Linked DNA regions of Oryctolagus cuniculus. The protein of the gene in region 3 interacts with the protein of the main gene of each other region in a pairwise test. Links are inferred from orthologs where the notes say so. Each region holds a gene or a part of one and is shown on either strand. Other genes may lie near its edges.

Region 1 (5,300 bases), on a different chromosome or scaffold from region 3:
GTTGATAATATAATTCATATACAAGCATCCCTCAGTATAATGGGGATCTCAACAGATACCAAACTCTGCAAATGTTCGAATCCATTATAAAAAAAAGTTATATCATGTGCATGTAACCTACATACACTACATACATACTCCTATTCTCTTTAAATCATCTCTAGATTACTTATAATACTTAATATAATCTAAATAATTTGTAGTTATTATATTATATTCTTAGGGAATAACAATAACAAAAATATCCATATATGTTCAATAGAGAGGCAATTTTTTGCAAATATTTTCAATCCATGTTGGTTTGAATCTGCATAACCTGTGGATATGAAAGGCCATTGTATATGTTAATGTTTCCTAAGGGTGAAATCATTTTGAGAAATCAAAATTCACCACAAAAGTTCTTCCATTCTCTTTAATAAGATTCCACTTCCTTTTTCATAGATGAAGTATCATTGTTGTGGTATACAAGCTAATAAACAACTTAAATCATCTACCCTCAATATAGGCTCTGTTAAGGCACCAACAAGTCTCTCTCTCTCTCTCTCTCTCTCTCTCTCTCTCTCTCTCTCTCCCATGTCACTCTGCCTTTCAAATAAATAAATCTTTTTTTGTGTGTGTGAAAAAGTCTTTATTTTAAGAAAAAAATTTAGTTAACAAAAAATTTATCAAGTTTCACTTAGCAAAATACACCCCAAAGGAAATCACAGTACAAAGAAAGTTTTAAGTCAAGGCCTCACCAATTCCTACAGTATTAGTATTGTGTCTCAATTCTCAAAACTAACTTTTAAAAAGCTTAAACTTAACCTAAAAGATTTAAATGAAAATAGAAACTAGAATGAACAAACATGAGAAATGTTTCTCTTTGAATTAGGGATCTAGCACCTTTGAGTTTTCCAAAAAAGTACATCTCCCCAAGGTGTTCACTGTGGTGTGGTGTAAAAGATCCACAATTTAACATACTTAAACTACTTTAACTCAGATAACATCACTCGGAAGGATACTACTAAAATGTTAATCGAGAAAAGCGGAAAATAGTTTTAGTTTACTCAATATCACATGCTAGAAGAAAAGTTTGCATGAGAAAACATTGAAGAGGTAATTTTTTAATCCAGATTTCACAAACTCATGGTGCAAAATGGGTCCCACAGCTTCCTCTAGGGTAATAACTGCTTTTTCACTGCTTGCTGGCTGCCTCTGAAAATTTGATTGAAATTAACTCAAATGCTTCTACAAAACTAATCATATCCACCCATGCTGTTCTGACCACTATAGCCAGCGCCATAACAACCGCTCACTGACTGGCTCTCCAGGCCACTGTAGGTGGCCTGAGCCGCAGACACCCCCATGCCCTGCATCACCTGGCTGCTGTAGGCCCCGTTGCTGGCCCCTGTGGTGGAATTCAAGAAGAGTTCTATGTATCTGTGCTGCATATTGGCCCTATCTTTCGACATCGCTGCCCCAGCTTCTTCATGGGTGGCAAACTCCACATCAGCTTCGCCCGTCACTCTTCCATCTGGGCCGATCTCAATATGCACTCTCACCGCGTTAAGTGGAGAGAAGAAGTTGTAGATGTCGTTCTCGGTCGCTTTGTATGGCAGCCCTCTCATGTGGACGCAGTGGCCGGTGGTGCTCTGCACTGCGAACTCGCTGTCTCCGTATCTGTGGTCGTACATTCCTGAGAGGCAGTAGCTGAGGTCTCTTCCGAACAGATCAGTGGTGAAGCCGTAGCCATCGCTGAGGCCACTGTACTCCTCATAGCCCCCGTAGCCAGCGCTGCAGGCACCAGGCCGCATTCTCTCCAAGCCTGCCTGCTTCACAATGCCAATATACCTCCGGGCTGTGCCAGGCCTGTCATAGGGCCCGGGTCGCTGAACAGACATGAACTTCAGAGGAGGATCTGAGTATGACCTCACTTCTTCCTGACTGCTCTTAAATACCTCAATATATCTGTGCCCTATTCTCTCCTTGTGCTTCCCTAGCGCCTTCTCTGCTAGCTCCTGAGAGGCAAACTGCACGAAGGCCTCCCCTGTAATCTTGCCCTCGGGGTCCACAGGCAAAGTGATCCCGTTTGGCACGATTTCCAACCCTGAGAAAAACTGAACAATTTCTTCCTTTGTGCATCCAAACGGGAGTCCTCGAAGCCGCACGAAACCATCATTAGCGGTGTCAGCGCTGTTTGGACCACTGTGCTTCAACACCCAATCCATCTCGGTTCTGTGAGACTTGAACACCTCAATGTACCAGTGCCCCATGCTTTCCCTGTCTTTTTTCAGGGCCATTTTGACATCATCTTCTGATTCAAGTTCGACAAATGCCTCACCACTCTGCCTGCCTTCTCTAGTGTAGATAAAATGAACGCCTGCGGCCCCATCATGAATCGTGCAGTCGGACAGGAAGTTCTGCACGTCCTCAATAGAGCAGGACCAGGGCAGGCCACGGAGCTTGACCACAAAGCCTTCACCTCCCTCGGGACCCAGCATCATGGACACTTGACAGGATAGATGTCAGACAAACTTGGGTGCAAGTTGTCTTTTTATGGCTTAGAGTATCGCCAAGGATACCTTCAGTAGGAGACACCTCTGGTAGGTAACCAACTGTCCACTGAGGAGAGCTGGCCTGGTTTCTATTTGCAAGAGCGGCTTCCAGCGAAGGACCCCAGATCCCACCCGAGCTTAGACGCGCAGAGGGCTCCAGGCAAACTCCAGGTGCATCTTTTTGTTCTTAACCTTCTTCAGGAAGACGCGGCGCAATCCTGCTTCCACGACGGAATAAATCATTTTTAAAAATGAAAGATGTTGACACACTCAACTTCATTTATTAACCTGTTATAAGCCTATGAACTCATCTACACATTTTTTTTTTTTTTTTGACAGGCAGAGTGGATAGTGAGAGAGAGAGACAGAGAGAAAGGTCTTCCTTTGCCGTTGGTTCACCCTCCAATGGCCGCCGCGGCTGGCGCGCTGCGGCCAGCGCACCACGCTGATCCGATGGCAGGAGCCAGGAGCCAGTGCTTTTCCTGGTCTCCCATGGGGTGCAGGGCCCAAGCACTTGGGCCATCCTCCACTGCACTCCCTGGCCACAGCAGAGAGCTGGCCTGGAAGAGGGGCAACCGGGACAGAATCCGGCGCCCCGCCCGGGACTAGAACCTGGTGTGCCAGCGCCGCCAGGCGGAGGATTAGCCTAGTGAGCCGCGGTGCCGGCTCATCTACACATTTCTGAAAGCTATTTATAGTTAAAGCTATTCTAACTTTTATAGTACTAAGTTCCAAAAGTGTTATTTTTCTCTTGTTGTCTTGAGCAAGTTATTTAAATTTAATGGGCCACAGTTTCCTCCTCTGTAAGATAGGAATCATAATCATAATGCTATAATGAGGACTGAATTAAAGGAGATACACCAAAACAGTACTTGGCACATTGTAAAATATTCAATAAAGGTTAACTATAATTTTTATTGCAGCAGGTAGAACTCTGCATTTATTTGATCTGCAAATATCCCCCTGCTTCATTTGAACAACGTGATGTGTGTGAATTGCCTACTGTCGCTCCCCGTCTTCGTGGAGGAACGACACAGGACCCTGCGCTGTTCTTTCGTCTGCTCGGCCCTCCCCGGGTTTGCTGCTGGTTCTTCCCGGGTTGGCTACCGACCCTTCCACCTCCGTGGAAGGGCGGTTCCCCCTGCCACTTTCCCCACTTCAGCGGGGGAGCGGCACACCGCCGGCCGGCCGGCTCTCTCGGGGGCTGCTCAGGTGTTCCTTCAGATAGATGTTCCTGGTGCATGTTGTCTCTCTCCTCCTTTATAGTCCTCTTCCACCAATCCCAACTCTGCTACCCACACGCCGAGTACGCTGCTCTCCTCCAATCAGGAGCAGGTCCTACAGTTTATTGGTTGAACTGGAGGCAGCTGTGTAGAAGCTGTTTCCCTTCTCAGCGCCATATTGTGGGAGAGCAGATGCATAGAATAAGTCTTAATTCCAGTAACTTAGTCTAGTCCGAGTTGCTCCCAGTTGCTCCCCACACCTACCACTGTGCCTAACTCAGAGGGCATTAAATTAAAATGGTATTTAATAAGCTGGTTATGTTCTTTATATATATATATATAGTTACCTCCTGATTACGTAGGTATCCATTTCACCTTACAAAAGCCATTCATTTGGTCCTATCTCAACAAGTCAAGTCTGAAACAGGACCTTTCATACTCATTTCTGGTCTACAGAATTAACTAGTGTCTGTATCACGTGTGATAAAAATGATCTCATAAAAGTTCAGAAATTTTTCTAAGGTTATTCACCAAATAACTAAGTCACAAGAGTTAAAAAGTATTGAATTATTTTTATAGTAGTAAAATGATAAAAAGATGAAAGTACAATGGAAGGCCTACTCTAAATGTTAAAGTAAGTGATAGTGATTATGAGTGAAATGCAAAGAAAGGCTTAGCTCAGCAAGTAGAATAAATTATTTTGACAAGCAGGTCAATCAAATAAGGTCATCAGTTGTCAAATGGCGTACTATAATCATCAGGTACCTTTATGAAAACAGATGTATTTATAGACAAAAATTAAGGTCCTTTTTAAAGCAAGAAATACAAGAGATTTCAAGAATTTGCAACCTTTTCATCTGGACACTATTAATGACTTCATCAAACTAAACAAATACAGAAAGTTTAATAAAAAGATGTTAATGAAATTTTCTACTAAAACTATGATATGGACTTGTTTGGTAAAATAAAGCAAGCTGCATATATTGCTATTTTTGTATCCTCCTAGTTGAAATATATTATTCACTCATTTAAACCTATGTATACATTTTCATAATAGATCACCCTAGACATCACAACTGAACCATAAACATTCACTATTTATCCTGGATCACAAGGAGCTGGCAAAGTAGCATTCATTTACAAACTAAGGTAAACTTCGAAACATTGTAAGCTTGAAGATTTCTTACACAAATTATTTATAAGTATATATTTATCATATAGTATCCATATAATTATGCTATGTTTTATTCATATGTATATGGGGCACAATAATTTAAATGGTCAAAAGCTTGTAAGTTTCTCCTAGTCACTTTGTTATCAGTAAGCCATCTTCTGTTACTCAGTTTTCCAGCGGCTCTAAGACTCACTTCTGGCTTCATTCTTTGAAGTATACATTAGTCTTCACAACCCAATTTGGCCAGCTTCTGATGAGTGATATTAAAAGATGAGGATGAGGCCAAGATGCAGCAGGATTGATGCCAGGCTCAGAGAATGGAATTGGAAGCAAGAACAATGCCAAGGTAAACTAAGTCATCTTTTACTT
Region 2 (5,272 bases), on a different chromosome or scaffold from region 3:
TTTTGCCTCACTTGTTCAACGACCTGGATACTTCTTTCCAAGTCATTTAATTGAGAGACCTCTTCTTAAAATGGGTCCCCCGATCGCAGACCAGGGACCTCCGCCCAGGCAGCGAGGACAAAGAGGAACGGGTACAGAAAGGTACAGACAGGGCTCTGGGGGAACGCGGCTGCCTGCCTGCCTGCCTGCCTGCTCTGGGGACGGCGGGGGCTGAGGGCTGGACGGAAGCGAGAGCCACACCCGGGCCCATCTGAACTCTGGGCAGACTCTTCGGCCCGGGCTGCGATACCTTTTACGACCAGGTAGACGATGGCGAGCAGAAAGGCGAGGAGGATGGCGAACAGCAGCGCACACAGAATAGAAAGGACCTGAACCGGCCACTGCCGAGCCGAGGTTCGGCTTCCCGCAGCAGCCGGGAAGATGCCGTTGCGCTTCTCCGGCAGCACCGGCGACCCATCTCCATCTGGCGGGAACAGAGAACCTCTCCTGGACTCCGACGACGGCCCAGCCGAGAACTCTGCCCGCAAGTCGCGGGCCACTTGGGTGCATCCCTCCTCGTCGTCGACTTCGCCCACACCCCAGCTGTCCCCCTGAGAGAAGGCGGAGTACTGCGGCGCCGCGAAGGGCACCGGCGTGCCGAGGCGGCGGCGGCGCGGCGCAGAACGCCTCCCGCTCTCCACAAAAGACATGGCGGGAAAGACGGCGAGAACCGCCGAGGTCCAACGTCTCTCACTGGCCCCGCCCCGCGACCGCAACAGCCAATCAGCGGCAGGGCCCCGCTGCGGCCTCCACCACCCGGCCAGGCGCGCAGGGGTGCGAGAGGGTGGGCGGCGGCGCCGAGAGGGAGCAGAGGGCTCGCCGGAGAGGCTGGGCGCCTCGCGGCCGCGGGCCGATTCCGGGACAGCAGGCGAGAGCGGGCGCAGGGAAGCGTGCAGGGACAGGCAAGCCGAGGCCCCAAATAGCCGAGTTGCCTCTCCCCAGCGTGCTTAGTCCCGGCCACCGGCGCGTCGCCACCCAGGCAAGCGCGTGCCCCAGCAGCCCCACAGTCAACACCGGGTCCTAAAGCTCGCCCAGGCCCTTCCGATACACATTCAAGAGCCTGCGTGCTTTTCCCCCTCTACGCTCACACTGCTCCCCAGTCTGCTCCTCCTAACCCGTCGCTTTGCCTCGGGAGTCCATCCCGCTCTCGGCGTGTTTCTCCCCACCCACAACTTCCCTCCCAGCGACTCGGCGCGCTCTGCGCCGCTGCAGGCAGAGCTCCCTTGCTCTGGACGCCTCTTCGCTAGCCCGTCCCTCCCCGCCCCTTCGCCTCCCACACAGCGCGCGCACTGGCGCGCATCCTGCCCCAGCTACCGCTAACGCTGGAAGCTGCTTACCCCGCCCCCACCCCACTCCACCCCACCCCACCCTACCCTCTTGGGGGCGGCCGCAGGTTTGTGGCGCGTACGTAACTCGGGCGGGGGAGATGGTGAAGGCGGCGGGCCCCAATACCCCACCCCTACGCAGTGAGGCTTTTGGAGCTCAGGGAAGATAGGGCACGGTAGTCTTCCTCCGCCGAAAGGAAGTTGGTAGAGTTTTCCAGTCAAAGGACTCGACGCGGAAACTTCCTCTTGTCCCTCCTCTTCCCCCCCTTCCCGTGCACGGGACGCCGAGTGAGGCTGAGGCTCAGAGCCAATCGCCGCAGAAGTGCGAGTCGGCGGCGCACTGCGATTGGACAGCGGAGAAGCCTGTCATTTTATTGGCCCCGCTGAGCCCGCCCCATAGCTCAGGGCATCCTTTAACCTTTGGCCCCAGCGGGCGCCAGCCACTCAGATCGCTTCTTGTTGGTATGTGTAGCGGCAGTGGCCGCCGGCCGAGCAGTCTGAGCCCGACGATGAGGCCGGGGACGGGAGCCGAGCGTGGAGGCCTCATGGTGAGTGAAATGGAGAACCAACCTCCCTCGCGGGGTCCTGGGGACGGGGAGCCGAGATTGTCCGGCTCCAACCTCTGCTCCAGCTCTTGGGTTTCCGCTGACGGCTTCCTGAGGAGACGGCCCTCGGTAAGGGATCGGTGGTGTAGGGGGAAAGCGGCACAATGAAAAACGGAGGCAGACAGGAAGCGTACTCCGAAAGGAGAAGAGTGGAGTGGACGAAGGAAGAACTCCAGATGGTGGGCTATGTCCCGAGGGAGAGAGACGCAGGGCAGGGCTGCACAAAGAGAAGTATGTGGGACCTTTGAAGTTCCCAGTGGGCTTGGCCTAGACAGATGCGCGGTGAAGGTGCTGGCAGGCCTTGGGCGGGGCGAGCGTCTCGGAGCCGAAGGCCTGGTTTAGCAGAGGCTTGATGTCGCTAAGACTGCAAGAAGCTGATTTGTTTGCACGCGTAGTGGTGGTGGTCTGCGGCGGGAGGAGGGGGTCTCTGGGATAATTGGCTGGGGAGAATTCCCTGGTTTAAAAGCCAGGAACAATGGACACATAGGAAGAAAGTAGTGCGTTAAATGCGCAGTGAAATAGTTGACTTGGTTGTTTGCATTTAGTGTCTGTGAGTGACAGAAACTTAAGTTTTCGGAGATGTGTTTTCGGGAGAGGAACTTTTACCTGTGCTGAAGCTTAGGTTAGGAAATAGTATGTTAGGCATGAAGTGGCTCTGACAACCCATCCTGTGCATTCTGTTAAGACAGGTTTGCCTCGAAGTGAATTTGACAAATTCAAAGTCTTTGAAGTGTCAAATTAGTGGCATTGTAAAATGACAGCTGGCTTTTTTTTTTTATATCTATGTAAAACAGGATAAAGATGTGATTTTTTTGACCATAACTTTCTAAGTAAGCATTGAATATGTATTTTCCAAAACCAGCAAGCAATTCGGTAGATGATTGAATCAGTGCTTAGTGAAGGGGGGTGGGGGGACCAAGCTGATTCAACCCTCCAGGATCATTTTTCACCTTTTCCACATTGTTATGGAATGTGCAAGTTCATTATACTACAGTCATGCATCCCACAGTAGCCTAATATAGGCCACTACAGGTAAGAGATTTCTTGAAATGAGATTGCTGAGATGCTTATTAACTTGGTAATTTTCAAATGCTCATTATTTTTCAGATGGGGCACCCTGGCATGCATTATGCCCCAATGGGAATGCACCCTATGGGTCAGAGAGCAAATATGCCTCCTGTACCTCATGGAATGATGCCACAAATGATGCCCCCTATGGGAGGGCCACCAATGGGACAAGTAAGAACGTTATGTTTTTGTTTTGTTTCCTATTTGTTGGTGCTTTTTTGCCTCAGGTATTGTGTCGACATTTTAGAATTTTAAATCAGTGCCGTACTTGTAGCTGGTTGAGGATTAATTTATGCCCAGATAAAGTTTTCAGATAAAAATGTTGCATCAAGACTGTAATCAAATTTTGAATGTAATGAAAAAGTATTCTGTATCAAAAAATTACTACCTCAACAAAATTTAAGAGTTTTTTTTCCTAAGTAACTGTGTATCTAGGCTTTTTATTTAATGTCCTTTTCTCTCTTGAGCATGTCAATTGGAGTTAACTTTTTAAGAGTAAATATTGTATGAAATGTCAACATAACTTATTTCAATGGACTATGTAAGTGTATAGACTCTGAAAATAGCGATTGTTTAGGCCTTTGACTTGGAATGAATTTTACTGCTTAATATCTTCTCCTTTGTCTGTTGTGGGGTGGTGAGGGAGGGTTGGGAAATTTGCTCTGTAATTCTGATTCTTCATAGAGCAGTGTCAGGTAGTTCGTTTTCAACTTATACTGTTTTTGGTTTTTAAAAAAATGCTTTTTGCTTCTGCACTCCTACTTTTGAGCTGTCCCTTCCATCTCTAACATAAATTGTAAATGGATTGTTTTGTAGGAGTGATTTAGAGCAAAAGGTTTATGCTGACTCAGCAGCATCCGTAGACCTAAGTTAGTTAGCTTGATTTAGTAGAACTAAGTTTCTAGAGAAGCATCCAATAAAGGTAACAGGTTTAGTTACCATGAATAATTTTGTGCTTTATGTTATTAGGTTCTTTAATACACACTCTTTAGGTTGTTGGGTCATTTCTATTTGAGTATCTCAGTAAATCAGCAACAGCTTAGGCTAACAAGAGTATTTTGGAAAGCCAGTAGGTATGATCTTTTGTTGATTAGTATTATTTGATATGTAAGTATTTAAGCCTTGATGGTTAGAGTTATTGGTGAAACTGCAGTGAAAAAAGGAGCATGTTATGTGTCTCTCTCTTTTTACTTAACCTTACAAGGAGAAGGGCTCAATATCAAGTGGTTTTCTTCTTTTTTATTTGGAATATAGCCCTAAATTTTGTGTAAAAATCTTTATTCATAGGCACCAGATCCAAAAGATTCTGCCAGCAGGAGTTCTTTAAATAAGACTCTTTTATTCTGTTACTCTAGAATAACACAGGTTTTAACACTCCCTAGGTGATGCAGAAACAACTCTGATTCCTCTTCTGTTTCTTTCCATCTCTAAGCAGCAAAGAGCTCTTCTTGTTTTCTTGGTAGAGCTGCTCTAACTAGATAATGAGCTTTAAAAAATATTTTATTCTTTAAATGCTCTGGTTCTTATTTAAAATTAGTTTCTTTCCACAGAAAGATAAAATAAAACAATTTGCTACTGCCAGATGCTTCTCTCTTTTCTGGGGCCTTCTGTTTCCATTGGGCCAGTCAAGGTAAGTTTTGCAAGGGATTGACCTGCTTACCCTTGCTGTAATGGTGCTGTTGCAGTACCAAAACCAAAACACAAGCTAGCATTTTCCAGGTTCTAGTAAAATGCAAATTTTGTTTTTTAAAAGTACTTTTGTGTATCTCATTGACATAAGCTGGTCACAGTTTGCTTTATGGCCCTATCTCTAGCTGTATCAATGACCATCTTCCTTATAGGTTTTACTTGATACTTCGTACACATCCATTCAGATACTCAGAATTTTGCCTTGTAGTTTCTTCTACTTTTTTCCTAGGTCAATATATGCCATGTGACTTTAAATATACCTGATTATTTGTATGTTAGATTTCTTTTCCCACTGTTGTTGGCTCCTGGTAGGGTAATGAATGGATGTTTTAGGAGGGACCTAAGAGAATCCTGTTGTTCTTTTCAGTTAAATCATTTCTTTTTTTCTCCATAATACGTAACAAATGTGGGCCCCAAATCTTGATAAAGCTAATTCTTATTAGCGTAACAGAAAGGGAGAGCATGGATAATTTTGAATCCTCAGATAATTCAGAAATCTTATTTAAAGCACAAATAGAACAAAACATTAGCAAAATTGATCCTTTT
Region 3 (4,780 bases):
ATGTTTTAAAGGTCCCAAGAATCAAGCTCCCCATGAGTGTTAACCAGGAAAACACAAGGTAACACATTGTGGGGCCACATCCAAGAGGAACCAGTACACCCCCTAACCATTCTCTCTTTGAAGAAAAAGGGTTTTGGCTACTGCAATGGCTTACGTTACTCCATATAAAAACTGAGTCTTGTTTAATTTTGTTTTTACTCCCCAGTTGGCCTTAACAGTCAGGTCTGGGCCAGGCAGAAGCCAGGAGCCAGGAACACATGGGTGACAAGGACCCAAGCAGTTAGGCATCATCCACGGCCTTCCCAGGCACATCAGCAGGAAGCCAGATTTGGAAGCAGAGCAGCTGAGACTTGAGGCAGCACTCCGATACTGGCATTGCAAGCTGTGGCTTAACACACTGGATCAGAATGCGAGCCCCAGGAACTGCGCTCTTGACCATGCAGGCAGGGCCCAAGGATATGCAAATGCCTCCGGTGGGAACTGTGTACAGAACAGCTAAACCCCAATGCCACAGATTTCAAACACTTCCCCATGTCAGCTCTATCAGCTTGGGAGCCAGACTTCTGTTATCAACGGCTGTAAAACAATCCGATCCTGGATCCACACCTGCCACCTAGCAAATCTGGGCGCACCACAGGCTCCTCCTGCTCCTGTGGGCCCAGGACACCACTCCTACACCTCTGACTCCTCCCCCTCTCCAAGGAAGCCTTTTTTAAGTCTGATCACTTAGCGTCTGACCAGATGCTGCCTCGGGGACAACTGCCACCCAATACTTTCAAAAGAGTTTAGCTTCACCTCAGGTAGGTTTTGTCTTTGACAACGTGTGACAGAAGAGACTGCATGTGAGATGTCTTCACCCCTCACCAAAGCCCATAGCCCCTGCTCTATAAAGACGTGCTACGTAAAGAAATGCACGCACAGGCAGCCTTTCCCTCTGTGGGGAGGCGCAATGTTCTCAGACCTGGTGGGCTTCTGGGTGCAGTCCGCTTCAGTCTATCACTCTGATCCTCAACTTGGGACATCTGAGAAGGGCCAGGACGCCCACAACCATTCCTCCACAGGTTTAGATGTGGTCAACGTGAACGCCACTCATCAGTGGAAAGAAAACTGAACCAGAGGACAGAGAGCAGGGCAGGCCAGGCGGGTTAGTGCCTCAGCAGACCAAGTGACGCTGGCTTCACCAGGACACGAGCAGCTGGAGGAAATGGGGCAGCGGCTGTCAGAGGGCTGAGTCTCCCCAGCAGCACTGATTCCTCTCCTGCTGAGATGAGCCCCCTTCCAGGTGCAGGCTCCGAGAAACCTGAGAACCCACGGAGGCCGCAAGGCGGGCACTCCTCTTCGGAGAGGAGCTTGGAAGCAGAACGAGCTGCCCAGGGTCCCCAGCAAGAGCTGGGAGTCGGTCTCCTATCTCCCATCCCACGTCCTGAGCGATGCTGCGTCTCACAGGTGCACGATGCCAGGCAGGGGTTCTGGTAAAGGCCAAGGCACTGCTCCTGCAATGCTGCCCAGAGGTACAACCACATGGGCACCGTGAGGACTCACATGTATCGATGGCAACAAGGGTGTCATCAAAGTCGTCTTCATCCTCTTCGGCGGGAGGCTGAGGGGAGCGGCCCCTGCGTTGCAAAGTGAGGTTAATCACAAGAGAATAGTGGCAGGAACACAGAGGAGGGACAGAAAAGGCTCTGCTGGAATGTGCAGTGGCCCCAGCCTGCTTCCTCGTCTCCATTTCTTCTCTCACAGGTTGGCAATACAACTCTGGAACTCTTCCTATTAGCAATGAAAGCAATGACTGGTACTTCCGGGTGGGGCGTGCAGGGTGGGTGGACACAAGGACACAGGGCATGCTCTACTGAAGTGGGGCATCAGAATCCTTTATAGAGTTTTAATTTTTTTTTTTTTTTTTTGACAGGCAGAGTGGACAGTGAAAGAGAGAGACAGAGAGAAAGGTCTTCCTTTGCCGTTGGTTCACCCTCCAATGGCCGCCGCGGCCGGCGCGCTGCGGCCGGCGCACCGCGCTGATCTGATGGCAGGAGCCAGGAGCCAGGTGCTTTTCCTGGTCTCCCATGGGGTGCAGGGCCCAAGCACCTGGGCCATCCTCCACTGCACTCCCGGGCCACAGCAGAGAGCTGGCCTGGAAGAGGGGCAACCGGGACTAGCACCCGGTGTGCCAGTGCCGCTAGGCGGAGGATTAGCCTAGTGAGCCGCGGCGCCGGCCTAGAGTTTTAAATTTTTAAAAAAGATTTATTTATTTGAAGGCTATAGTTAAGAGAGGGAGAGGTGGAGGGATCTTCCAACCACTGGTTCACTCCTCAAATGGTCACAATAGCAAGGACTGGGCCAGGCTGCAGCCAAGAGCCTGGAACTCCATCTAGGTCTCCCATGTGGGTGGCAGGGGCCAAAACACTTGGGTCATCATCTGCTATTTTCCCAGGCACATTAGCAGGGAGCTGGGTAGGAAATGGAGCAGCTAGGACTTGAACGGGTGCTCATATGGGATGCTGGTATTGCCAGCAGTGGCTCGACATGATGTACAACACTGGCCTGGGAATGCTTTCTCAAAGACTTGTCCCGGCCGGTGCTGCGGCTCACTAGGCTAATCCTCTGCCTTGCAGCGCTGGCACACCGGGTTCTAGTCCCGGTAGGGGCACCGGATCCTGTCCCAGTTGCCCCTCTTCCAGGCCAGCTCTCTGCTGTGGCCAGGGAGTGCAGTGGAGGACGGCCCAAGTGCTTGGGCCCTGCACCCCATGGGAGACCAGGAGAAGCACCTGGCTCCTGCCTTCGAATCAGCGTGGTGCGCTGGCCGCAGTGGTCATTGGAGGGTGAACCAACGGCAAAGGGAAGACCTTTCTCTCTGTCTCTCTCTCTCTGTCCACTCTGCCTGTCCAAAAAAAAAAAAAAAAAAAAAAAAAAAGACTGGTCCCTCAGAACCAAGATTCTGATCCATGCCTTTTGCATGACAGTGGTCTCCACAATGAACTTCTTGGTATCCCTAAGGGTGCTGGCCAGGAAGGAGAATGTGCAAGATCCTAGATAAACTCCGATAATTACAGCCTGTCCACATAACAGTTTTCTTAAAACCCTACATCTAAAAGGATTTAAAGTGACCCATTTTTTTTTCCAGTCCTTTTCAAGTGTCCTAAATTATGAACAAGATTCATCTGCCTACCAAAGCACTAAAAAAGGGACTTACAATGCTGGCTTGGGCTTTACAGGAATAAGGGAGAGAGGCAGAAAGACGGGGTCTAAGGCCCAGGGCCCTGCCAGCATTGACCTAGCGCACCGTGTGCACAGACCAGGTCGTGTGGCCCCAGCTTGCGGCTCCCCTCTGCCGGAGTTCCCTTCCAGCCTGCTGACCCACAGCCAGCAGAGAGCCCGGTACACACAAGGGGCTCAGCACAGGGAAGCTTCCTCCTGGGAATCCTTTCCTGCCGGCCCCAGATCAGAATGCGCGCTCTTCCTCTGCGCCCCATCAGCAAGCAGCCTGTGCTCTGTGGGAGGCAGAGGAAGAAACCATGTGAGGAGGGCGCCACGTCCTAACTTTACCACCGTCTGTGAGACCCAGCGACGGATGGAGGGGCAGGACTGAGCCTGGAAGCGAAGGAGCGGGAGGGCTGGTCAGGAAAGGGAAAAGGCAAATGGCCAGAGTGGCCCTCTTGTGAGCTCCTGAAACTCCCCTGCAGCCTGACAAGTAACCAGTACTGGGGCTTACTGCTGAGAGTGTCTGTTCTCAGTCCCTGTCAGGAAAAAAGAACGCAGACCCCACTGTCCACATCACCTCTGTGTCCCTGGTGTCTAGCCCAGGGGTGGGTGCCACATGGAAGCACTGAGTGGGAGGATGGAAGGAGACGGCTCGCCTGGGCAAGAGATCTTTCTCTGAACCAAAGGACCCCACGCGGCTACTAGGAACAGGACACTGTGCGGGACACCGCAGGCAGTAAGGCCAAGACTCAGACGTAGCCTGGCAACTCACACCCAAATGCGAGGTGTTTGGGATTCACCCTGCAGGTAACAAGAAGTGGGAACCGGGAGAAAGATCCAAGTTCAGGAACGCTGATCCTGGGAGCAGTGCAGGAAGGACTGGGAGAAAGTGTCAGCCCAAGGAGACCTGCTCGGCTCCTCTGCCTTAGAACTAAGGTCCCCAGCGGGTATGGGGCCGCGGGCGTGGAAGCCTACGGAATACTGCGACTCGCGCCTCAGATTCTCACCTCCGATCCTCTCGGTGCTCAAAGTACCCGCGGCCCCGGTTTTCTTCGTAAGGCCTCTTGCGACTCTGGAACTGCTGTCTGTCGGGCTTGAGCTGAGGAGCTTCAGGCGGGAGGAAGCTGGTGGGTCCTTCTTGTTTCATCTCTGTCTTCCCTTCTACTGCCAGGACAAATTCACATGGTGGTCACACTTGGAAACTCCTCAGCTGCGGGAGAAACGCTGGTCCCTTTTACCCCAGGAGATACAGGTGGACTGCTGACTAGGAGTGAAGGGTGGGGCACAGGCAGCTTTGCTGGGTGCAACAGGAAGAAGCCTGCTGAGCAAGCCAAGAAGGTGAGCGCGGAGAACAGGGCCAGGACACAGGAGAGCATGTGGCCGTACAGCTGGCAGTCACACAGCTCAGGCTTCACGGGGAAGGGGGCTTCAGCACTAAATGACGACAGTCTTTTTAATTCAAAGGTGAAAAAGCTGCCTTTGGCTAACAGGCCAGAGACCCATGAAGGCTGGCAGCTCTCTTGGCCTGTGGTGATTGGAAAAGAGTCCTCCAAGACTTCTAAGAGCCCAGAGTCACCCC

The links. The genes of interacting proteins can lie anywhere in the genome.
Region 1: the proteins of HNRNPUL1 (region 3) and heterogeneous nuclear ribonucleoprotein F interact in a two-hybrid assay, tested with the Homo sapiens proteins (3 studies listed by BioGRID and IntAct). The link is inferred for Oryctolagus cuniculus from reciprocal best matches to the Homo sapiens genes HNRNPUL1 and HNRNPF.
Region 2: the proteins of HNRNPUL1 (region 3) and PRPF40A interact in a two-hybrid assay, tested with the Homo sapiens proteins (2 studies listed by BioGRID and IntAct). The link is inferred for Oryctolagus cuniculus from reciprocal best matches to the Homo sapiens genes HNRNPUL1 and PRPF40A.

Annotation. Positions count from the first base shown.
Region 1 is NC_091446.1:59,592,099-59,597,398, forward strand, and holds heterogeneous nuclear ribonucleoprotein F, read right to left. Parts: upstream 3,653-5,300; 5' UTR 2,484-3,652; coding exon 1,236-2,483; 3' UTR 604-1,235; downstream 1-603.
Region 2 is NC_091434.1:89,171,174-89,176,445, forward strand, and holds the start of PRPF40A (pre-mRNA-processing factor 40 homolog A), read left to right. Parts: upstream 1-1,620; 5' UTR 1,621-1,828; coding exon 1,829-2,038; intron 2,039-3,076; coding exon 3,077-3,208; intron 3,209-4,587; exon of another isoform or gene 4,588-4,619; coding exon of another isoform or gene 4,620-4,667; intron 4,668-5,272. Other genes in the region: ARL6IP6 (ADP-ribosylation factor-like protein 6-interacting protein 6), read right to left, coding at 290-689.
Region 3 is NC_091449.1:13,337,196-13,341,975, forward strand, and holds part of HNRNPUL1 (heterogeneous nuclear ribonucleoprotein U-like protein 1), read right to left. Parts: intron 4,366-4,780; coding exon 4,209-4,365; intron 1,617-4,208; coding exon 1,543-1,616; intron 1-1,542.